Linked DNA regions of Struthio camelus. The protein of the gene in region 3 interacts with the protein of the main gene of each other region in a pairwise test. Links are inferred from orthologs where the notes say so. Each region holds a gene or a part of one and is shown on either strand. Other genes may lie near its edges. The genes, in order: RCBTB2, APPL1 and FARS2.

Region 1 (7,492 bases), on a different chromosome or scaffold from region 3:
AGTGAGTAGCAACTGATAAAAAAGAGTAACTGCATAACAGACTAATGAAAGGCAAAAGTACAAAGATTAGAAAGTAGTAATAAAGTTTATATTAAAAACACGCATCCCTAAATAGACTTACTGAAATGTCAAGGTCAGCAGCATAAAAAGAATTAAACTTCACAAAACAAAGCGTCAATCAAAAAGATTTTCACTTACAAAATATTTACATTTCTTCCTACAGATGCAAAAACACCTTTTGAAAGCAATGAAGTGTTTCAGATGATGGAAGCTGAATGCAACTACTCGCAATGCTGAAAAGCAGTATGGTAGGATGTTGGGGTCATTTTCACATAATTAGTGGTTTCCTTCTGCAGTAAAAGAAAAAAAAAATACTGTGAGCACTTTCTCCAGATCTTTCAGTGTATCAACATAAGGAAACATTTTGTTAAACAGTTTTTTGGGAATAGTGTCATTCCTACACCTAAATCTAATACCTTATTGTTGAGGGAAAGCATTGCTTTCAGTGTGGCTGATCTCAGATTTTCAGAGAATCATCTTGAAAAGCTCTCTCTTCGCTGAACTGCTAGCCAAATTCCAAACATACTTTGTGTTTTGTTCCTGTAATCCATACATACATGTAAACATAATAAAATATTAACAACTGTGGCATTTACTCCATTTTTAGTTTAATAGCTCTTTCCTATTTTAAACATTGGATAAAATTTAATATACCATATAATGCAATTAATTTGGTATAACTGAAATTTATATTGATTCTTTTTTCTTCATTTTGACCTTCAGACATAAGCTATAAAACAGGAGAGCTCAAGGAACCAGCTTAAGGGAAACAAAAGTATTCCAAAGATCTGGTTTTAGAAGAACTTTATTTAAAAATATTAACCACACAACATAGCAAATTAATACTGTAATATATAATAATAGAGTAAGTATATGAAATAAGTTGATGAATATTATATTTTTACACATTTATAGAATCTTAATATGGAAACGTTTAAGCCTTAAGAATTTAAGGAACACTAACAGGTTATCAGGTTGTTCAGGATAAATTGTGTGTAAGCTTCAGATGTTAAGCTGCACTGCACCTGCAAGCAGGAACCGTTCTCAAAATGGACATCAGTTCAATGCCATAAAAACATCGTGCTAGGCAAGAGCCTAGCTCTTTTAACATGTAATCATAAATATTAAATTACATTAACATAAAACCAGTAAGCAAACGTACTAGTTTTGTTATGCCACCTCTAAGCAGATCTAAGCTAAATTGTTATTAGTCTGTAGCTATATGATTCAGCCAAATTCTGTGCCTTACATAATATCTTAACTGATGGATCTTTTACTTCAGTCAACTCTTGCTGTTAACAAACATTCACAGTTTCTACAGCTCTAACCCATAATCCTACCCTTAGATGTTTAAGGAAGGTCTTTCTAGCCTAACTTTGGCTAAAAGCTACAATTTATAAGGTGTATCTTCTAAAATTTTAATAACAGACCTAAAAAAGCCTATAAGCGTTACTAAATCACATCCGGCCTTATTTTCTACATTCCCTGATCACTTTGTACAGTTTGTACAGTTTTTCTGCATAATGGAGCCTTGGTCCATGATATGGGCTTCTACCTACAGGTAAGAAGTCTCAGCTGTAAAAATGTTGCATTACTGAGTTGCATTACATTTCTACAGCCCTTGGCACTCCAGGACAACTGACATCACTCATTCATCTCCCCAGTTTTTCAAAGGTTGCCCCTCCAAAACCAAGAATTTCAAACTTATTTTTGTTTAGCCTTCTACTTAATTTCTATTTATTTAATCAAATTAAAAATGTAACCCACTTATTAAACCAGCTCTTCTCAGAATTTCCTCACGCTCCTCATTGAAAGCAAGTCTAAAGTCTACTAATTCAGCGTCTGTTTGGTAAGCTCAGAGTTGTTGTATGTAAATATAACTGTTATATGTCCTTCCCAAATGATGCCATTGTCTGTATCTAAAAAAAGAAAATCCAGTCATGACATAATTTGTGGTAAGTGATAACTTTACCCAAATCCAACTCTGGTAGTCTAGCGCAGATAGCATTAAAAGCTCTTAGAATTTTACTTCCTCAAAGCAATGCTAAGCTAATTCTTTTTTTACCCACACAACTTCTCCCTACTACTTTACAGTTCATCGCATCATTAGCATCCAATGCTACTCCATCATATTTATTTCTCACGCCTGGACAACATTAGCTCTCCTCCCTGCTATTCAGCAGGGCCATGATTTCTCAGTGCTTCCCTTAGCTGTGTCCGCTTGCACGCTCCCCGCCATCTCGTTCGTTGCCCAGGTGGATTACAGTGATGCACAAAGGTAACTGCCCACACACCTCACTCCACTCCTAGGAACAAAGGTAGGAACAAAGGTCCCTTTGCTCATTGTGCCCTGCCTTCTGTCCCATCAATACTAGAACTTCCCTCTGTGCGACCACCCAAACCCTCAAGCACTGATAATCCTTTATCTATCCTTAAATCTTAAATTTCCCAGCTAGTCGCTTTCCCTGCATTAAACCGTAGCTGGGCATCAAGCTAAGCCTGCCTGACCCACCGCACGCTTCATACTCCCTCTACGCACCGGAGGACAGAGCTCGCCGGCGCTACTCCAATTTAACCCTTGCTCCACTAAAATCGCGCCGCGGGTTACAAACCCGCCCTGCAGCAGAAACTGCGCCTACACACCGCGCACCCTGCCCTGCCAACGGACCCCAGGGGGAGGCAAACGCAAAACCCGCCTGGCGCAGGCAAAACGGGCAACGGCTCCCGCCCCCAGCGCTGCCCACCGGCAGCCGCGAGGCGGGACGGCTAACAGGCAGGCTGCGGGGGGAGAGGGACAGCCCCCACGCCCCCAAACCGGGGCAAGAGGAAAAGAGCACACCAAACCCCCACACAGCTCCGCAGCTCCCCCGCACGCAAAATGCCGGCCGACGCCACGGCCCCGCCCCGCCCCCCCGCGCACGCGCACGGCCAACGGCCGCTGGCGCAGAGGCGGGAAGCGCGCGCGCGCCCCAGGGCGCCCCTCCCCCCTTCCCTCCCTCCGCCCGGCTCGGTGGGGCCGGCGCGGGGCGGGAACGTCCGTTAGAGCCGCGCGTGACGGCTCCGAGCGCGGCTCTGCCGCGGCGTTGCCGCCGCTCTCCTCAGCGGAGAGGGGCGCGGGGCTCTCGCCGCCGCCGCCCTGGAGGAGAGGGAGGGAAAAGGTGGCGACTGCGGCGGCGAGCCCCTTCCTTCGCAGCTTACCTTCCCCGCAGGCGGCGGCGGCGGCGGCGGCGGCTCCTCCTCCCGCCAATGAGGCGAGGGAAGATGCCGCCGCGCTCAGGCGCCTCCTCAACCGCGAAGGGAGGGAGGGAGGGAGGCGGGAGAGAGAGAGGGAGAGGGAGGGAGGGAGGGGGGTTAGAGCCTCCCAGGGATCCACCTACTGCCGTAAAGAGCGTGGAAAACGGGGGGCCACCGGCTGACGGGGCTCTGGAGGCGGCTGGCCCCGCGGGGCTTGGCCCTAGCTGCAGAGCAGTTCTCTCCGAGTTCAAGCAGGGGGAGGCTGAGACGGCACCTGTGTCCCCTGCACCGAGGCACGTCTCCTTTGACGATACGGCCACCTCAGGAAGACACACATGCTCATAGGGAGCATAGTGCTGAGGGAGGCAGCCTAATAGCACTTCCCACCAAGCCCTAAGCTGATGGCTGGGCCTGAAGGCAGGTGGCAAAACTGCGTAGTGAGAGCCCCGTGCTCAAAGACGATTGCCATGGGAATGTCCAATGTTGCTGAGCTGTTTCGATGTGCAATCTGCTTTTTTTGAAAGTGAAGTGAAGAGGACATTGGTATTTTTCTCATATGCTTTAATCTTTAAAATTAAGTCCTCCCAAACAGGATACCCTTGAAAAGCATTTTCCTAATATTCAGCTGAGGAACCTTGCTGTTTGGTCAGGTTATGTCTCTTACCTTGGGCCTGATAATGCCCTGTCATCTTGCTGTGATACATATTCGGAGATTTTTGCTGTTGTCTTGAATTATATTGTTAGGTTATCGCTGTGGGAACCTTATTCAGAAGAAAGCTTGCCCTGTGCCTAAGAAAGTAGCTTTCTATTGAAAGCAATCTTCCTTTATCGCCTGGGGCAGGTCTTCATGTAGGAATCAGTCTTATGAGGATACTGCGTTATTTTAACAATTGTATGTACCTAGATACAAGATTATGTCCAAAAATGAGGTTTGTAAAAGCACATAAAGTAGTAGGACCTTTTCTTTATAGCTACGAAAGGAATAGAGACAATACATTCTGTATACTTGCCATATTGTCTGACAGTCTCATATGATATACTTCACATGCTTTTTTAGCCTATCTTGCATCCCATTCTTCAAATATATAATGCATGAAGTGCCTGTACCTCTGCACTGACTACCGGTGCTGCTTCCTAAAGTGCTCCCCTAATGCTTGCACTATGTAATGCTCCGTGGAGTCACTATCTCTTCTTAGCTTGTCAGTCGGAAGTGAAGAAATGTATCCCATGCATGCACCCCAAATGCATTATAATGTGCAAAACGTATATTTATTGGCTCATTCAGTTGGTTCTTTCACAATAATTGAGAGAAAGTCTTTTTAGCTAAGAAAGTTTTCTTCGTTTGAAAGATACCCATAATGATTTGTATAAAGCGTTGGAAGGAGAACAGTAAATTTTGGGGCACTTGACTCATAAGGATAATATATTGTGCCTTATAGTTTGGTTTTCTCTTTGTGTAAAGTAAAATGATCATTGTATAACACAAATAAATTTGTTTTCTGCTAATGTGTTCCCTTCTCAGTTTTCTGTTTTCTTGACTGAATAAACCCAGTCCACGGGGGAAAAAATTGGTGGATCTCAGACATATGTGTGTAAACATAACAATATGCCTGAAAATTTCAATTCTGCAGACAGTGGTGTAACAATTCCCAGTGGAAGTTGAAGCTATTCATTTTCAGGCTAGCAATAAGACAAATATTTTTAGTAAGAGTAATTGTCCCTTAGAACAAGTTTCATCTTGGCCTGTGAGCTGCTACTGATTCTTCAGTACACATTTTAAAAGAGTATTGGATATTTTTCTAAAAAGTAACGCTCAATTTAATGCAAGGAAGTGCTATGTGTTAGGCTGAAGGTCACGCTTAGAATCTGTGAAACAGGTGGTGTACTTCATCTATTCAAGCAAAGTGCACTTTAATACAGTGAAGTGCTTAAATCTAGAAGCAATAAATGTAGATCTACAAGCACAGAAACTGCTTTCTGGAAAATCTTACTGAAGCATAGAGGTCAGTCAACATAACTGAAAATGTGATGCCAGGCATGGAAAAGTGAAAAACACCAAAGCCACTGTTGAATGTATAAAGAGAAGAGTGATGAATAGTAATTAAGAGATAATTTGCCTCTAGTAATTAGTGTTATGAGACATCTAGTGGGACACTACGTGTAATGCTATTGTATGTATTGATAGAGAAGCTGAAAATGGAATAAACTGCAAAAAGATGATCTGTTAAGTTTATTAAAAACCCAGTTCAAAGATGGTTGCAGTTTGTAGGCTCCTTACAAGAAGAAAATATTAGATACTGAGTGGCATTTTAATTGAACGGAGAGAGCTGTAACAAGCAGCACTGGGGAGAAATTAAAGCCACAGAAATTCAATTCAGAAATTGAACGCAAATCCCTGACAGTGCAAGTAGAAGGTGGTCTCCATTTATTGATGCCTTCAAATCAAAAAGTGATCCAGCCGTTTCAAGTTTTTCTTATATGACAGAGTTTCTGCAGCTGTCACATTTTCTTTCTTTCATTTGGGCTGCCTCCAATTTGTTTTTCTTTTTTTCCTAAACATAATGTCTGAAGCCAGATTTAGAACTAAGCAGCACTCAGTGAAAAGGGATATCTACCTCTCTCATCTCACGTACAACACTCTTATTAGTATTTTCCTTTTTTTCCAATATATTGTTGAGGTCTGCAATTTAAGCTTTGGATCCTTTCTTATTTTATTTACCATTTGAATTTGTGCATGTCATTTTCTTCCAGTTGGTCTTAGGAATAATACGTGATAGAATTTGACCTAATTTTATTATCTGATTAGCTGATGAATCAGATGTTTATTTTACTTTACTTCAGCAGGATTATTTTGTACACTTAAAAAAATGTAATTAGAAAGTAAATGAGAATGTAGCAGGGACTGTAAATAGAGTAGCTAGTCAGTGAACTAACTTACAGTTCAAGCACCAAAGGACTCCAAAGCCACAAGATTTCAGTTACTTCTATTCAAAAAAAATTTTTTTTTGATATTTAAGTGCCAGTTCAATACAGCAGTTGCATATTGGGATGCAAGTTCTCCAGGCAGGGTCCACCTAAATAGCACACCGAATGTGTGCTATTCAAGCCATCCACCCAAGGGTCACATAGGGGCTAGGCTAGCTGTAGGCTAGCCTGGCCTAGATGGGAGGTTACAGATACATCGCAGGTGCTTTTGGAAATTATGCTTTTCCATGACTACAAAATGCAGAAGCAGCACAGGTAATAGCTATGTTCTTCTGTGGGGCTATATAGCTTGGGGGAGAAAAGGAAGGGCTTAGTTCAGATACATCTTCAGGCCGAAAGAGAATTTGCATCCAAGCACTTGGCTTATAGTACTCAACCTGCTACATCTTGGTGTAATCATGATACCACAAGGAGAAGGATGGAGGAATTATTGTGGAGGGCCAGAGGAAGCTGAAAGGAGGAAATAGAGAGAGGAACAGGCTTTTTTAAAGACTCAGTGAAGATTAGGGGTATTTGAGGTGATGATATTACTTTCAAAATTACTTTCATTTAATAGAATGAGTGCAGCATCTGAATTGTAGCTCCTATTTTCTTTCCATATTTTCTCTTTTCGCTTCCAAACTGCCCTCCCACAGTAGTATCCAGAACCACCATCTCGCTCCCCCCCACCACCCCCGTCATCTTGAACTCATGATAATCTGATGCTCAAAATCAGCTACAACTCTGGAGTACTTCAAAGCATACCGTCTCGAATGCTGCCTGCAGTTACCCATCCAGCTCAGTCAAATATAGTTAAAAGCAGACTAAACTTGCACTCAGATCTTCCAGAAGTTTTTGAAGCGTTGGAAAGGCTTTCCATATTTCCTAGATGGCAAAAAAGTTTTGGACTGTCATATGCTTATTTGTGGACTTACTAGAGAAACATGAGGTTTTGTAGATTGTCACTCAGTAGGTACAATTTCTGTATTTAAACTCAACTACTGTGTGCTGGGTTGCCAAAGATAGAGATGTGTTTGCTAAACTCAGTTGCAAAATAAAGATGCCCACTAAGCCTTTTGTTGTGTTTCCCCTTAGAGAATCTATCAGTAGGAGGGAAGTGAGAAAGCTAGGAGTCCTTTCATGTCAAACTAAGATCAGCTTCTGAGCTCAATAACAGGGTTCCCATTACCTGCGTTATGCTTTTGGGTAATGACATTTCAGTTATGATCATGAC
Region 2 (8,309 bases), on a different chromosome or scaffold from region 3:
AAAAAAAAAAAAAAAAAGCCAACTCTGCCCCCCAAACCCACCAAGAAAATGATGCATCATCTATGCAGAGCTGCTTACAGATTTCTATTTTGGCAAGGTTTCATATAAGCATGATCACTGATGGAGAGACAGTCTCTCGAATCCAAAGTGTGGACTTTAAAAACACAATGAACTTTTAGTGATTTTAATACAAACAGCTGGTTTCCAAATACAGACAACTAAAGTTTCTTTAAAAGCTGGAAGAAGAAAAAGCACTGATACACAAGCCTTTCAGAAAATATTTCTTCCATTTCAATGATTATGAAAGAAATTAATCTCAGCCACATGGTTGAGACTGGGACTACCACACAGACCAAGGTCCAGAGTGGTAACTACCTTCGTAAGTGATCTCTTCAACGAGCTACCAAGAACTATTAAGACAGGCATATGCAGTGTTAAGAGAAATATTTATAAGCGACACTTAATCTCCCCAAAGCTAACCATTAACTAGATCAAATATTTACAATCTATTTTTGGACTTTCTGAGCTTGTGGAAGATGCAGAAAACCTTCAGTAAGGTATTCTGATTTTAACTCCCACTTGGGAACACTCAGCAACTTGCAGGCTTCCCCCTTCCCCCCCCCCCCCCCAAGGGAAAAGAGATTGTGATAGCTCTCAGAAAGAATCTTCACAAAATAGGCCAAAACCCAGATATCTAAGTTTGTTAGACACATGTTGGAAACTAATCAAATAGTGCCATCTGGTGTTTATACTTGCCCAGCCATTAAGTTTGTTCAACAATGAATATTCAGACAGTTGAATAAGAAACTGTGCTACTACTAAAATAATCATATGATATTAATTTGCTCAGTGCTGAATTGATTCACACCCAGGAACAACAATGCAGTAACATATCAACATTCTGTTTTTAAACTGAGTTCTTGGCAGCAACTTATTATAGGAACTGGAAGCACCAATTAATAAGTTCACAAAGTGGACGTGCACATCACACTTTCTAATTTCTGCGGAATTCAGTGAAATTGAAACATCATATTTCTAAGAGACTTTTATAATGTTCATGCAGCTCCACATATCTTGTGGAGACTTCACAAACTGTTAAGAGAAATTATTCTAAAGATAACAAGTCTACTTCATTCCAAAACTATATACATGTAGAAATATATCTACCAGGAAGTCTGGCTGAAGACCAAACTTCCAAAGTTTGCGATACTTCTTTGGAGAGAAGCTTGCTTAGTTATATATAAAATATTTGTCACTAATGCAAAAATAGTCAAACCTTTCTATAAAAAAGTGAAAACAAAAATGTATTTTCATGGGGCAGAAAGGTTACAGTGTTTTAGATCTAAGAAGAACTGACAGTAAAGAAGTAGATTCAGTTTCTAGGAATTTCTACTAAAAGTAGAAATACAGCTTGAGCTTCCATTCAAAAATGACATCCCCTTTTATTGCTCATTTCTAATGGGCCAAGATTTCACTTGCAAGTCATGAATTTATCTAAAGAATTTTAAACAAATAGCTTTGAGTAAATAAATACCACAGCAATACAACAAACATTAGGTTGAAAATCCTGAGTAATCAACAGTCGAAAAAAATCACTGCTCCTTGGATGTACAGATCTGCTCATTTTACAGCACCACATGATTGGTGAGGTAGCTAACTCTAATCTTCCTTTCTGGTTTGGCCCCACTCACAGTTTTTTGCTGAGGGACAGCAGAGTCCATCTGTTGAGTGGCTGGAGCTCTTGTACTTTAGAGAAGTGAAGCCTCTAAGGACTCTATTTATAAATAGAATAGTCAGCTGAAGTGACCACATGAAGAGTTCTTGGTGGCTTCCATCTAAAACCCCACTGGTCACTGTTGCTACCTATTAGCATTGTCACCTATTGCTACTCCACTGCCAAGTCACCTTTCACAATAGCCTGTCCAGTATCTTTGGCTTTTTAGAAATAGGCTAAATGGTGTATATACATCTTTCTTGATCACTTATCACACGAAAAAAAAAATTGCCTTTCATCTCACCTTTCCCACAGCTCCTTCACCCAAGTGCAGCAGTATCTCACTGCCACAGACATTCCACACAGAGCTCCCCTCCTGATACATTTTGAATGTGAATGTTATAGTCAAATGTTATAGTTATATAACATTATAGTCAATGAATGGTATAGTAAAAGCCAGCTTCAAAATTTAGAGGTTTTTTCGTTTGTTTTTTTAAAAGGTAAGAATGCCTCAAAACTGCTAATGTTTCTCATAAATAAATAAAAGCAGTTAGCTATTTCTTGGCTGAGTTAAAAGCTATTTTGACCCAGGAAGATTAAATGAACACAAATAAATTCAAGGTAAGTCCAAGGGTGGCACCAGCAAAAGTTTGAGAAAGCGCATGTAGATGCAGATAAGACTTACCTGATTATCCAGACAGCGACTTTCACCCTCCAGCAGAGGCAAAACGTTCACTCTGTTAGCGGACCCATCTGAGGCCCTCTAAAGAGCCGTTGACTGCTCTTCTCCCTGTTTATACAGGGTCAAGCGTCAGTTACCCGCACTCTTACCGTTTCCTAGCAGTCATTGATACAAAGAAGAAAAAAAGAATCACAGAGACTAACAAATATATATATATATCTATCTCATTGAAAAAGACTGATTAGTGCGTTTAGAGGAATTCATTATCATCCAAACTTGTCTGCTGCTGTCAAACTTGCATCCCAAATAACACCTTCTGATGCCTTCTAACATTTGTAAAAAAGTATATGTAGCACAACAAGACCAGTAAGACATTACAGAATGTTTTATGTAACAGATTTACTTAAAAACCCTGACTAATAATTAAAAGAAGCTGCATTATATTACAGAATTATGAAAAAGATCCCTACTTGCTATTAAAGCCAGTGGCAAATGGACCACTAATTTCAACAGAAACAAGACACGTTTTTATGCTACGTGCCAGCTGAGATACCAAGACACATTTCTACATACTAAAGACATGTTGTCAGTGTTTTTTTTAATGAAACATTTAGTTCTCTGATTTAAGTGCTGTTCTTCTCAACTCACAGCAGCTAAACAAACACATTTTTCTTCTGTCACTTAAAGCTGTAAAAATATAAAGGTAACAAAGAACAACTCTTTTTAAAGTTACTTGCTACCATCTTAGCATTTCCTGCTAAGGAAATGAATCTTATATATTATGTAAAATAGAGAGCATTTCTTACAGAAGACAGCTGTAAAAATTGGTCACAAGTTAACTGATCTCAAAACCAGAAAGTTATGCATATATATATCTCATGAGAAAATACTAGTGTGCCATACAATAGTTATGGATCCAATCATAGCTCAGCAAGTAATATTTTAATGCAGAAGACCAAACAAGAAGATGAAAGACTTAATCTTTAAAACACCTTGTAAGATAACTCTATTATTGCTCTCATGTGACAGGGAAAGAGTATTGACAGTGAAACAGTGTGACTTGCCTCAGGCCACATGAGTCACTAGCTGAGCTGGTAAATGAACTGACTGAACTGAGCTGTAACACAGAATTCCTCACCGCTCCCTAAAAAAAAAGAAATTCTCAAAAAGCTGTATTTGTTTACAATTTAATACCAGCTTTTTTCTTCATTTGCTTTTAAAAGCAAAATGTAATCTTATACAAACATAAAATAAGGTCTTCATAATAAGACTGTACAATAGTTAATCATTTGCTCCACCGGCTAATTTAGCCTACTTTCTAATCTGGTTGTGTATTAAAAATATAAACTGCTTAACCTGCAAGAATAATTTAAAATACAGTAACTAGGATCAAAATGTCCTGGTCTCAGAGCTGTAGAAAGGGCAATTTAAGAACATGCTATTTTTAAAACAGTGCACAATGACCTGGTTCAATTCTAATAAGCCCTCAGAGCAGCCTCAGCCACTTAGAATTGGCCACCAATCTGTAGCAGCAAGTTCAGCCAGCCAAAGAAACCAGAAAGCCCATTAGGACTGATTACACCCTCCTGAAGGGGAAAGACCACACTCTGCTCTATAAAGAGTATTTTTTCCATTCAAGACCCATTCAGGAACAGCAAGTCCTCAGCTGAAACCGTGACTTTGTAACAAAAAATACAAAGTATTTATGGATAGAAAGAAATCCCTTCCTGCTAGAAGTCCTGAATGATGATGGAAGGAGACAAGAGACAGATAAAAGGGGACTTCTCAAAAGGGGTGTTCCTGGTGCTCAGGAGAGTGCTTCTACCACAACAGGGCCACAATAGCATTATTCCCACTGCACTTCTGCCCCCAAAATGATCTCTTTTTTTTCGGGGGTGGGGTAGGGGGTAAGACAATAACAGAGTAAAAAAAGACAAAATCCCACTAGTTACAGTGAGGCTAGAAGAACATACTGAATTAACGCACAACGCCTGTAACTCCAAACTCAGAAGAAAAAAAAAAAAAAAAACAGCGTTTTCCCAGCAACTTTGCCTGACAACCATCTCCGTCAGGCCCGCAGAGCTCGACGCCTCAGCGTGGAAACAGCCCTGCGTCAGTGCTTCTGACTCACCTCCCCGGACTCGGGGCAGCCCACACGCACCGGCTGACAGGGCGCCCTCCCGAGGAGCGAGAACAGCTCTTCCCCCTCGCCCACTTATACTGACGGGGGAAGGAGGGGATGCTAACGAGGGGGGGGGGGAGGGGGAGGGGAGCAGCTTACGGCAGGGGCGCGGCGAGCACTGACGCCCAGAGCCGCGGCGCGACCGTTTAACGGCCCGCGCGCGCCCCTCCCCCGCCCCGCAGCGAAAGGGCGGGATGAGGGAACAGACCCTCGCGCCCACGCACGGGCGCGGCGCGGCCCGACGTGCCTCACACCGCCCACGTGCCCCCCCAACACCTACAGACAAACTGACGCAGCCGCGAACCAATAAGGAGTTGGACAGGCTGAGGCGAAGGAACCAATAGGAAGAACAGAACCGGAAGGGGGGGCGGGCGGAGAAGAGCAGGCGGGACATCCGGCGCGAGGCGGCGGCGCCCGTGTTGTGAGTGGAGGGAGGGGGGAGGGGCCCAGTCAGCTGGGTGCGCTGTGGGGTGCGGGAGCTGCAGCGGCGCAGAGTCCACCCCGGCGGCCGCCATGCCCGGCATCGACAAGCTCCCCATCGAGGAGACGCTGGAAGACAGCCCCCAGGTGAGAGGGGCCGCGACGCAGCTGGCTGGGCGGAGGTTAGGCCGGGCCTCGCGCGGGGGCACTGGGTCCTGCGCCACCCCCTTCCCCCTCCCCTTCCCCCGCTCCCTCAGGGGCTCGGGGAGACGTTGGCGGCCGTTGGGAGAGAGAAGCCCGACCTGGGAGCGGCGCAGCGACGCTGCTTGCGGGGCCGGTTGCCTTCCTGTTCTCCTCGCCTCTGGTGCGGGAGGGCTTCGGCCGTGGGCTGGTCGGCCTGGGGCCGGGAGTCACGGCTCCTGGGCTGTCAACTCCGGCAGTGCCCCGGCGAGGTGTCGCTGCGGCGCCTTCTTCCCGCTTGCATCACCGCATCGCCTCAGGTGTCCTGCGGGTTCATTAGCTGCTTACAAAGTAGCGAGCTTAATGACGATTTTCTAGAGATACTGTGCTGCATATGCAAGTGCTTTTGCCTCGGGCGTCACTGTGGTAGCTTGTCCCTCCCTTCCCCCAGCGCCAGATTTACATTCATGATTTATTTTGGAAACCTCGTGTTGAGAAAACCTTCTTTACTGGATCCTTTACTTCTCAAGAGGAGTTTTGTTATGTGTGTATAGTTTACTGAAAAGACAAAAGGTTTACTAGATAAATATGAAATGCAGTTGCTGAATGATATCGTGATGCTTGTGAGAAGATGGGAAATGCATGGTGCTGAGAGACCTTTAATTGCTGTTTTCTTCACTTCCATTTCTGCTGCTTGAACTTTGTCAGTGATGCCATATATTACGTTACTATTTTTTACTATTATTAAGCAGGAAATGCTTTATTCTGTTGTACTGGTTTCTGTTGTTGGCAGCAACAAGTACTTTGCGCACTCTTCCTAGGCATGAATGAAAGTTAGTTTATAATATAGTTTCTCATATGTCAACGGTTAGAATTAGCATCATTGTTTTGCTGCGTTGTCTATGTAGATGAGCAAGATTTCTTATATTGTAATAGCATGTTCATTGATACTTTTGATTCCTCAGCTGTAGAAGAGGAATCTACAGAATGGCAGAAGAGAAACTGCCATTTGCTTAATATGAAATATTTACCCCTAGAATGACAACCATTTTAGCAAATCCACATCAAGTGGAGGGACTGCTTAGAAAAGACAACAGAAGATCATGTCGCGAATGCATCATTGCATTCGAACAGAGTGTGCCCCGTGTAACTCTAATGCCAGATGTCATACTGAGTTTCAGATGAGAGCTAACCTGTAGTATAGTCTCTGGCCCATCTGACTGAAATAAGGAAAAAAATCTGAATGCACTATAGTAATACTAATTTAAGAGAATTACCCATTGAAGATCTGTTCTCAGTGTATGGAAATCGGAACTGTTTTTACTTATAGGAAACGTTTTGAATACTGAATTTGTCTTACACATGACAAGTAGGATGAAGCGTTTTCTTCAAGCCCTTTAGACTGGGACATCGTTAGGGAAGCATATGAGAGAAGGTTACTTATTGGAACATGATTGTAAATTCTTTTATTGCCTGTCTAGAATCTTTTCATTTGAGGTTATCTGTGATAAAAACTGATTAGCAAAGCCTAACTCAGCCCAGTGCTTACTTGTTGATGTGCAAGATTTGCTTATATCTTCTCCTGTTTTAAGAACAAAATTTTACATCTTTCAGCCAACCTAATATTTCAGGTGAATTCTGACTGATCACCTATTAGAAAACCATGGCGGCTTAGTTGCTTTGTTTCATTACATCAGTTCATTTCTGTTACTTTGAAATCAGCATGGTTAAAGACACTTTAGTTTTGTTTTACTTAATCACTGTCAGGTTTTACTCTTCTGCTTCTGGTAGTGGATAGTGTCTGATGCCATAAATGGCAACAAGTGATCCTTGAGGAAAGAGGAAACCCTGTTCCCTTCAGGAGTTTTCATGATGCTCTGATTATGATGAAGTGTTCATAATGTTTTGCTGTAATATTGAAGGAGATCATCAACCTAGACAATTGTTTTGTGGTGAATTGTGGACTGGAATTGTGCACTTTTAGACATGTTTGAGACTGTGATTTTATTTTAAATAAATATCAAATCAAACTTGTTCTGCATTTGAAGGAAAGAAGTGTTTTTCTAAAATGGCAATGCCATTTACTTTGTCTTGATGCAAGATAAAAATCTAACCGCTCTGGCTTTGGACATAAACCAAATGCCAAGTTTACATTGTTTTTGCTAAGCGAAGGACTTTGATTCAAATATCAATTAACTTAGTGCATATATTACACACATGTTCTCTGTCTCTGTATGTGTGTGTATATATATGTATATATATAGAAGTATTTAGAGAGAGTTTCTGCTCAGACTTGATTCCATTTGCAAACCACTACACAATGAAAGAGCTAAGAGACACGACAGCACAGGCTCTGCCTCACGTCACTTGCAGTACAATATGTATGATGGTATCGAATGCTTAACGATTCACTGGCTTCTCACTAGATCATTTCTTTGTGTAGCTTATCTCCGGTAGCTTCTAGTGTACCTGCTCTCATATATGACATGAAAGAGTCTCAAATAATATACACAATTTCTCAAGTTTTTGCTAGAAACAAGAGTAAACAATTCCTCTGACTTTTAAGCTAAGCAAAGGTCTGTCATTACTTGTTTCCAATTTCAGATTATTTTTCTTTCCATCAATATGACATAGGGTCAGTCTGAAGTCTGAGAATCAATAGCTGATTATTTTACGATAAAACATAGAAAGTACTTTCTTCTGCAGTGTTCTGTTTTAAAAAGTAAAGATCATCCAGAAACCTAGCATGATATTCCTTTCAAATTGCAAGTTGCCAGTATTAATGTTCAGGTTTAAAGGTCAGGAGTATGCTATTTGGAGGTTATGGTACTATATAATTTCTTCTTTTGCATTCTTTCATGTCTGTCTGCTTCACTGGGAGAGTCACAGCTATTACAGTGATGCAACATATTGACACGTCTGGCAAACATTTGAGTTCATCTCCAGCTCTTGCCTCTTGCACCCATCCTCCACACCTTTTTCTACTTATTTTATAAACTAGAACCATCACTGAAGTGATTTATTTTGTTCATGATGCTATTTTTTTTAAGGTATCTTGTAAGCATTATGTGATATCATATTTGTGAGACAACCGGTCATCTAATCTAAGTTAAATAAAAGGCTTTCATGTC
Region 3 (8,313 bases):
GAGAGAAGGAAAAATAAGTATCTGCTTTCCTCGCACAGCCAAAGTATAAATCCATGATATTTCACAGCTGCAGTTCAGTCATCTTTCTCCTACAAAGAAGTCAGACAACTCTAGAAAAAATAAAATTGTCTATTCGTCCATTAGATTTATTACTTCAGTTATAGACTACCACTCAGGACAGAACACTTAAGTACTTTCTACAACAGGGCATGTCTCTGACTTTCTTGCTGTTTTGGGGCTTTTTTTTTTAAACTTCATCCTTTAGTCTTTCTTCCTCCCTACTACACAATATCATGATACTGAGAGCTGACTTACCCAGCTGTGATATGTAAAACCCTTATGTAATTGTTAATTTACCTGGGTGATAAAAGTGACAAAGAACCAGTGACCAGACTCCATATGCCAGTGCCAAAGAGCAAAAGTAAGATTTTCAGTTAAAGTAAACAAGTAGTGTATCTTGGCAGAAGAGAAAGAATCCCATTTGAAAAAGCTTATTTTCTGAATTTTATTTGATACGAATCATGTTGTCAAAAAACTGAGATTATGATGTAAATACTGCTCAGTTTATCCTGTACTTGTACAAAGATCCAACAGCTTTACTGCATACCCTGAATTAAATGCATGTGTGTCTCTTTCCCACAGTTTGTTCCCTCTCCAGTCCAAGGAAAACCCTTGAGATAGAGAATATGTGGAAGCAGATGACCTGTACCTCTATGGCAGCAACTACCTACTCCTGGACACCATTTTTCCTACTGCTATAGCAATCAGGCACCTTCCTTGTAGTTGCTCTCCTTTCCACATGTTCATTTGGCATGGCCAGAAGCCTTTGCAATCCAAGAGCGTAAAAGCCTGAGTCCATGAGGGTGTCTGGTTTTTTTCAAAGAAAGAAAGAAAAAAAAGAAAAAACCGGACCCAAACACATTTATCACAAGCGACTGCTGAGATTTTTAAAAATGAAGATTTTTACATGTTGATTTTATCCATTGTAAAAATTTGATGAAAAAAATTAGTTTCCTTTTTAAAACAATTCATTCAAAAACTACACCTGAAGCTATATGTTAAAACCTCAAGCTTATGTTAAAGCCTTGGCTTACAATAGCCTATTTTTAAATTAAATAACATTTAAGCATCAGACGTGCTGTCAGAGATTTTACAGAATATTAAAACACTGCAAAAGTAAGGAGCAACCAACCAAGAATCACTTGGTGGAATTAAAGTTTGTTGAAGTGCTAAGTACTTTCAGAGAAAGTCGAAACCAAAATAAGACGATCAGCTTGCCCAGATCAACAACTACTTCATTCAAAGCTGGGAAAGCAACTGACGCTGAAAAAACAGTAGAACTTATTTTGCTTGTTTTTGTTCTTAGGTTGGCAGCTATCTGCAAAAGCAGATTTACTGATTGTAAAATCTTAAAGGACATGATTTAGGTGAAGTTGCCTGCATTTAATTAACTAGTTTCCAACGCAAAACATGTTCTGACAAATTGCATTCCCTGTCTCTCCTATATCTATCTCTCCCTGCCCTCCTGTGTTTTGCATAGTTTTATTAACTAGTCAAATAACATTGGCCATTCTAATCAAAACCCCAATTTCCACTAAAATATGATTTATACCAATAAGAAAAAAAATCTATAAAGAAAAATGCTTTATGCTATATATATCATACATCATGTATCACACACATAATATATATCTAGATTATATATAATACATAAATATATTGCTATTTATATTATACCATGCTTACATTTTGAATATAAAAATAACAACTTCTGCCAGTTAACACAAAACATAATGAGTAACTGAAATAAATAAATCACATAAAACCTTGAACACACACACACACACACACACACAAAAAATTGCAGAAGTTCCAACAGAGGGACTTGAAGCTCCTTACGTTGCTCATAACTACAAGAAACTAAAAAATTGAAAAGGAGACCAGCAGGAAGAGCATAATATGATGTTCCCCAGAACTTACTACTTAGCGTTGACGCTTATAGACCAGGGATGGTTGCGGACCAGAGACTCCATAGTAATACTGGTAAGGCAGAACCTCTGGAGCTTATCTAATCAAACTTCCCATTTGAAGTATGTCTATCCTCAACCAGGTCAGGTCAGCCATGGCACTGTCTAACTCCATGCCTTGATAACCTTCAAAGGTGGATGAACTTCTTCAGCCCTGCACCACCCTTCTAGAGAAAAACTTCTTCCGCTGTATTCCAGAGAGTTTTAACCACTGAGCTTCAGTCACGTTAAACAAATAAAACTGCAGAGTTCACACTATTCTTGTTTGCAACCAGATGTTTTAAATCTTGAATTGCAAATTTTTATAAATTCAATTGTTTTCTGTACCAAAAAGAGAGACACAAAATAAATCTATTATTTCACAAATAACATTTGTTATTTGAAAATTACTGCACTAAACCAATTAATTTAGTTGAGACTGTAATTACAATCTCACATTACGAACTGTAACAGGATCTTCTTTTTGTTAATCAAGCAGAAAAAACTCCCCAATATACTTGGAACCACTTTTTTAAGCTTAAAACTTAACATCATCATCCTTTACGTATTGATTTTCCTACAGTACAAATCAGACTTCCATCTTCAGCCCACATGTGTGTGTAACAGGGCAGAAGGGCATGCGTAGTATGGCAGAAAGGCAGACAGGAAATTACTGTCTACTAAATTCTCTCCTGCTGTTAAACTCTGGCCTACACATCTGGGCTTCAGAGCACTCCATAACGTTTACTGCAGGACTCTAGAGATGATCCTGTGTGTTATTATTCTAAAGACTGTTGGAGCTGGACTCAGTAACTTTAAGATATTAACATTATTCTTCACATTTAGGGCAGCAAAAGCTCTGTTGGGCTGGTAGAAGGAAATCTGGTACTAAAAAAACAGATATAGAATATACTAGAAAAGTTACAAAACAAAAATACTTGATTCTAAATCACAATCTATATGTGCCTCTTTAAGAGCAAAATCACCACAATCAAACAGGGAGACAACAAGCAGTAGGTCACACTGCAGACATACACTTACAAACATGCATTGTTTGCACTAATGAAATATTCTGAAATTCAGCCAGTGAAATCATGAATCAGTAAGTTTAATCTTTAATACTCTGCAATTTGCCACAAAGTCGACTCTTTACAAAGTTATATTCGATGATCACATTACAGCAGCCCTGAAGGCAGAGCAGAACTGCTTATCCCAGCATCTAAGAGGAGTGTCCATTTTTGTTATGGGTGTGGCATAAAAACCAAGGTGGACTTGTTGCTGTGGTCCCAACTGATCTCTGCATGTAAGAGCTGCTGACTGCTTCTTGCTAGAAGCTGCTATTGCTTTTAGTGTTTACAGATTTGTATACAAAACAAGAATTTATACAGTTGCTGATTTTACAGCATCTAAGGACAGGCCCATCAAAAACTGAGACCATTCCTTAAGGAAAGGGGAAGTTTGCTCCATGATATGGCATTGAAAAATTGCAGAAATCCAAGGTCAATGCACATCTTATGATTTCTATGCTTTTAGAGTTGTTAGTATTACAGTACTAAAAGAAAAAGAATGGAAAGTTTTACATCACGTTAAGCAGAGAACTCAGCAATGCACCTTGTATCATTGTTGTGTGATGGATAACCCGATCTTTGAGCTGCACGCCAAAATTTCCACACTGCTGAAGGCCCTGGATACATACCTTTTATTTATTTTGGGGAGCTGGCTGAGGGGCCAGGCTCTGGGAATGGTTTACAGAGGAGAGATGCCAAAAGTTTCCCAAGCCATTACACTCCATCAAAAAGGAGCTGGGGCAGAGGGGAGTCCTGTGAGGCTGCTGCCACCAACTGCTGCTGGCTTGTTTCCTCCCACGGCTGTGGGCTCAGCTTCCCCAGCAATTTCCCCTAGTGCAAACACATCGCTGGAAACATGACACGGCCCAGACGGGAGCTACACTCAACTGCCCTCCAAGCCATGTCTCACAGGCCTCAAACCACCCCTGTTACATATAACCATACTCTGCTATCCAGAGTAAGGGCAACCAGGATACTCAGGACAACAAAGTGCAGGGGGAAGCCTTGATGCACACGAACCAGAGAAGGAGCGGGGAGTGAAGTTAGTGTGGAGTCAGTGTGGAGTTAGTCTCAGCTGATGAAGGCCTATTAGCTCTGGCTCAAATTTGGCCTTTCCTCACGAGGCACTTGCTCCCTCATAGGCGCTGTTTGGGGAATACGTATACCCCGAGCGGCGCAGCGCTCAGTGTGGCTTCATGTGTTCAAAGGCTGCTGTGCCCAGCCCAACACTTCTTGCCATCCTTGAGATGGCTCCCCATGGAGCTGGCTCACGTCTCTCTGTCTGTGGGCCAACTACCAGCAGACAAAATAATCTTGCTAGTGCTGCTGGGGAGCAGCCCCAAGTGAACGCAGCAGATATCAAAGCGCGGAGTGGCCCGTGCCCATTGCACACGGGTCTGTATCAACGTAGGCATACCCTTTACCGAAAACCGGGGCATATCTTTCACCAACAACTCTCAGGAGACAGGCGGCCGCGCAGCACTGTGCCCAGCACGGCTGGAGGGTCAAACCCTGCCCACCATGCGCCTTGCTGGGGTTACGCAGGGAGCCTGGCCCCCGCCGGTGCAGCCGCGCTGCCTCGCCTGGGCAAAGAAACCCCGAGGCTGCCACCTGGCCCAGGCCCTCAACAGCCAAAAAAAGGGCAGGATACAAGGGAAATAGGAGCCTTTTCAGCCTGGGTACAATCCCTGCCCTGTGCCCTCCCCCCTCCCCGCGTAAAAGCGGGACCTTTTAGGCCCATAATACGGTGCTTTTGCCCCGGGGCCAGGCACCTCGGCGAGGCCGGCGGCTCCCCGGCAGGGGCGCGGCGGCACCGAGCCTCCCCCGGGCCGGGCCGGGCCGGGGCAGCGGCGGGGGCGGCCTCGGGCCTGCGCGCCCTCCCCCTCCGCCACAAGGCCCCGAGGTCACGGCTCAGCTCCGTCCCCCCCTCCCCTCCAAAAAAAAAAAAAAAAAGGAAACAAAAACTAAGAACCCCCCGCCCCCCCCCAAAACAACAGACACCTCGGCAAAGCCCAGCTTCTGCCCCCGAGTAATACCGGCATTGCCGCCCCCCTCCGCCCTCCCCAAACCCTCACGCGCAGGGGGAAGAGCGGCGGCGGGGCCGCGGCCGCCCCGCGGAGGGGCCGGACCGGACCGGGCCGGGCCGGGCCGGCAGCGCACCTGTAGTTGTAGCCGCTGAAGCGCTGGCTCTCCCGCAGCAGGGCCCGGTAGAGCCGCAGCACCTGGGCTCGGCTGGACGCTGCCATGTTGCCGGCACAAGGCGGGTCCTGCCGCCGAGGCCCCTTTTCCCCGCCCGCGGCCGCGCCGGCCTCCGGAGCCGCCACCCGCGCCCGCCTCTCTGCGCGCCTGGCGGCGGCGGCGGCGGCAGCGCAGGGCGGTGAGTGGCGGCGGGGCAGCGCGGGTGGGCCCGGCCGGGCGGCGCGGTCACCTTGGGGGCGCCGAGAGAAGCCCCGCGGCCTCCGCGCGCGCCGCCGGCGGAGCCGTTGCCCGGGCTCGGCCGGCTGGATGTGGAGGCCGGTAGCGTCCGCTGCGGGCAGGTGCGAGCGGAGAGCCGAGGCCTGGCGGGCGGGCGCGGCCGCGCAGCGCTGCCGGGGTTGGGGGGGGGGGGGGGAGCGGCTGTGCGCTGCGGCTCTGGGGCGCCGCGGTGCCGCCGGGCCGGGGCCTGGGCCAGGGCGGGAGGCAGGGCCTAACGCGGGGCTTCCCTCCGCCTGGCTGGGGCGCGGGCTGGTGGTGCGCCGCCCCCGGGGGCTCCAGCGGCGGGCAAGGGAGACGGACGGCGGCTGCTGGCGTTGGTGCCGCCCGGACCTGCCCCGAGGTGCCAAAGCTGCAGGCGCTTCGGCGTGAATATTCCGGGTTTTCCCGTGGGCCGCGAGGTGCCTGTGCCGTGTTGGGTTGTCCGTATGTCTGTCGCCTTTTTAAAGGGGTTCTCGGCTGAAGTGGGTATTATCAAAGGGGGGGGGGGGGGAAACAAGTAATGGGAGAGGGGAGCCTGTGTGACTGGGCAACGTAAAGGTCAGTGTAAATGTCAGTTGATGCAGGGTCAGGGACTGACCGGGAGACACTTAATATTTGGTCAGTGCTTGCATTTCACTGCATTTCTTCAAAAGTTTCTGTACAAACGCACGTGGCAAACTTTCAGTCACGAAAGGAGCACCGGAAGCTGCAACACCGCAGGTGATGCCCAAATCGTTCCTGCTTTGAGATCCCCGGTTATGTTCAAGACTGTTATCTAAATCTTTCTGCTTGACCTGTATGCCTGTAGTTCAGAAACCATTTAAATGAAGCAGCAAAAACCTCTGAGAGAGGTTAATAAGGATTTCCTGCCTCAGCTGTTTTATTTTCAACAAAAAATCTCCATTTACCATTTTTCTGGCTTTTTCCACAGCTGCACGAGAAGTGGGCACACCACGTTTATCAGTGCCCTCCCCTAAGGCTCCGCATCTGTCGAAGTTTTCAGAAAGTGAATTGGTGTGTTGAATTTTGAGTGAAGTAGCCACGACCCACGAGTGTTAAAACTGGCCTTGAAGAAGGCAGTCCCCAGGCAGGAATCTGTATGCACAATGCCTGTATATTGTACAGTCTGCAGAACGACTGGTTACCTGAGCAATTAAAAAGTTTTACCAGTTTATTGGATAAATTCTCCTCTGCTGTGAGGCTGGGTCCCTTATTCCACTTAAGCGCCTCTTTTATTATTGTTTACACTTGAGACATCCTGATCCTTTTATTGCTGGAAACAGAACATACTTAACATCCTCCTCTGCTGAAAGTTTTGCCACTGCAAATTAAATCTGACTTTGTAACTTACAGGTTTGTTGCTGTAGCTAGTACTGATTGTTAAAACTATCAATAATAGGATTTCTTTATATTCATTACAAAGTGTCTACTTTATCCACAATACGTTTTATATGTAGTATGTGTTTATATATGGTCTACTTCTGTCTCTGGCAAAAGCGTTTCAGTCCTTGCCTCTAACTGAACTGATACTCTATTGTACATGCATGCTTGAGTATTGTTTGTGCCGCTTGTTCATCTGATGCAATTTACAGTATGTTTCTAAAATAGTGCTGTATTTCTGGCTATAAATAATACAGATAAGCATGGAGATATCTTGGACTCATCTTTGCGTGCATGTTTATACGGTCATTGTATTTTAGCAACCCTTCTAGGCTTCTGAAAACTGAGATTTTTTACACACGTAGCAAATTTCTTGGACGTTCTTATTAAAACCTAGACTGGAAATGTTATAGGAAATGTTACATTCTTCTACAAAAATGCAAGCAGCCCAGAGACGATGAGAAGCATCACATTTTTGTGCCTTCCCTTATAAGTCACAAAAGAGCGTATTCTGGGCTGGGTTTTTGCATGCAGGAAACCCAAATGGAGAAAATTAAAAGCAGGCATGCTCTTTAGTGGGCTATGGGACCAAATGTTCCTTGTAGGCCAACTTGTATTGTTATCAGAGGTCACTGTGCAAACAGTGAAGTCTGCCTGATTCCCCACTGCCCATCCTTGCCGTTCTCCATCTTTGCAGCCCTGGGGTGCTTAGTAGGTGTTAAAGCAGAACTCTCGCTTTGGGTCTGCAGGTTTATCATTTTCCCTAAAAGCAGCAGTGGCAATCCTGTATTTTGTTTTGATAATGTGCTTCGGACAGTTTAAAAATACGAATCTCTCATGTACTGAACAAAATCTAGCTTTGAGAGTTTGGTAAAGATACGTAAAGTCATTTTATGGATCACTGCAAAAATTATTCTACGTAGTTTTAGAACAGCCCTCTTTATTATTTTGAGAGCAGGAGTTTTGATTCTGCAATCTTCAGCTCTAGAAGGTGAGAGAATAATGAGAGAGAAAGCAGAGCAAGTTAAGAAAATCTTGTAAACACTATTAGTTTAATACTGGAACAGTTATTATGAATGATTTTAAAATAGCCTCAGGTGCTAATCCTGTTCCTTCCTGAATTTCCCTGAAAATTTTTGTTTGTGTGTGTTGTTTTTTTAATAACCATGTTTTTCTCTGTTAAAAAAAAAAAAAGTCTCATGTTGCATGGAAACCTCATCTGCTTAAAATAAGCAAAAAGCACATGCAGAGTACTAACACACGCAGAGTAAACACACCGAAGAAGCAAAAAGCCTCCTCTTGACTCTCCCTCCCATCTTAATCTTTAGTTGACTGAAGGAAGAACAGTTTTCAAGGATAAACTGGCCTTTTGAGTACAGTTGGATTGGTGATGTTGTCTGGAATGA

What was found.
Region 1: the proteins of FARS2 (region 3) and RCBTB2 interact in binary tests that used the Homo sapiens proteins (3 or more experiments, as listed by UniProt). The two-hybrid records come from large-scale screens. The link is inferred for Struthio camelus from reciprocal best matches to the Homo sapiens genes FARS2 and RCBTB2.
Region 2: the proteins of FARS2 (region 3) and APPL1 interact in binary tests that used the Homo sapiens proteins (3 or more experiments, as listed by UniProt). The two-hybrid records come from large-scale screens. The link is inferred for Struthio camelus from reciprocal best matches to the Homo sapiens genes FARS2 and APPL1.

Annotation. Positions count from the first base shown.
Region 1 is NC_090942.1:192,305,308-192,312,799, forward strand, and holds the start of RCBTB2 (RCC1 and BTB domain-containing protein 2), read right to left. Parts: upstream 3,432-7,492; 5' UTR 3,259-3,431; intron 2,974-3,258; exon of another isoform or gene 1,980-2,973; 5' UTR 1,828-1,979; intron 1,723-1,827; exon of another isoform or gene 1,025-1,722; intron 601-1,024; exon of another isoform or gene 477-600; intron 351-476; 5' UTR 199-350; intron 1-198.
Region 2 is NC_090955.1:15,492,392-15,500,700, reverse strand, and holds the start of APPL1 (DCC-interacting protein 13-alpha), read left to right. Parts: upstream 1-4,937; 5' UTR 4,938-5,091; coding exon 5,092-5,145; intron 5,146-5,300; exon of another isoform or gene 5,301-5,601; intron 5,602-8,309. UniProt on the Homo sapiens protein: Multifunctional adapter protein that binds to various membrane receptors, nuclear factors and signaling proteins to regulate many processes, such as cell proliferation, immune response, endosomal trafficking and cell metabolism.
Region 3 is NC_090943.1:103,668,749-103,677,061, reverse strand, and holds the start of FARS2 (phenylalanine--tRNA ligase, mitochondrial), read left to right. Parts: upstream 1-5,192; 5' UTR 5,193-5,233; coding exon of another isoform or gene 5,234-5,317; coding exon 5,318-5,450; exon of another isoform or gene 5,451-5,610; intron 5,611-5,811; exon of another isoform or gene 5,812-5,946; intron 5,947-6,458; coding exon 6,459-6,541; intron 6,542-8,313. Other genes in the region: LYRM4 (LYR motif-containing protein 4), read right to left, coding at 5,234-5,319. UniProt on the Homo sapiens protein: Is responsible for the charging of tRNA(Phe) with phenylalanine in mitochondrial translation.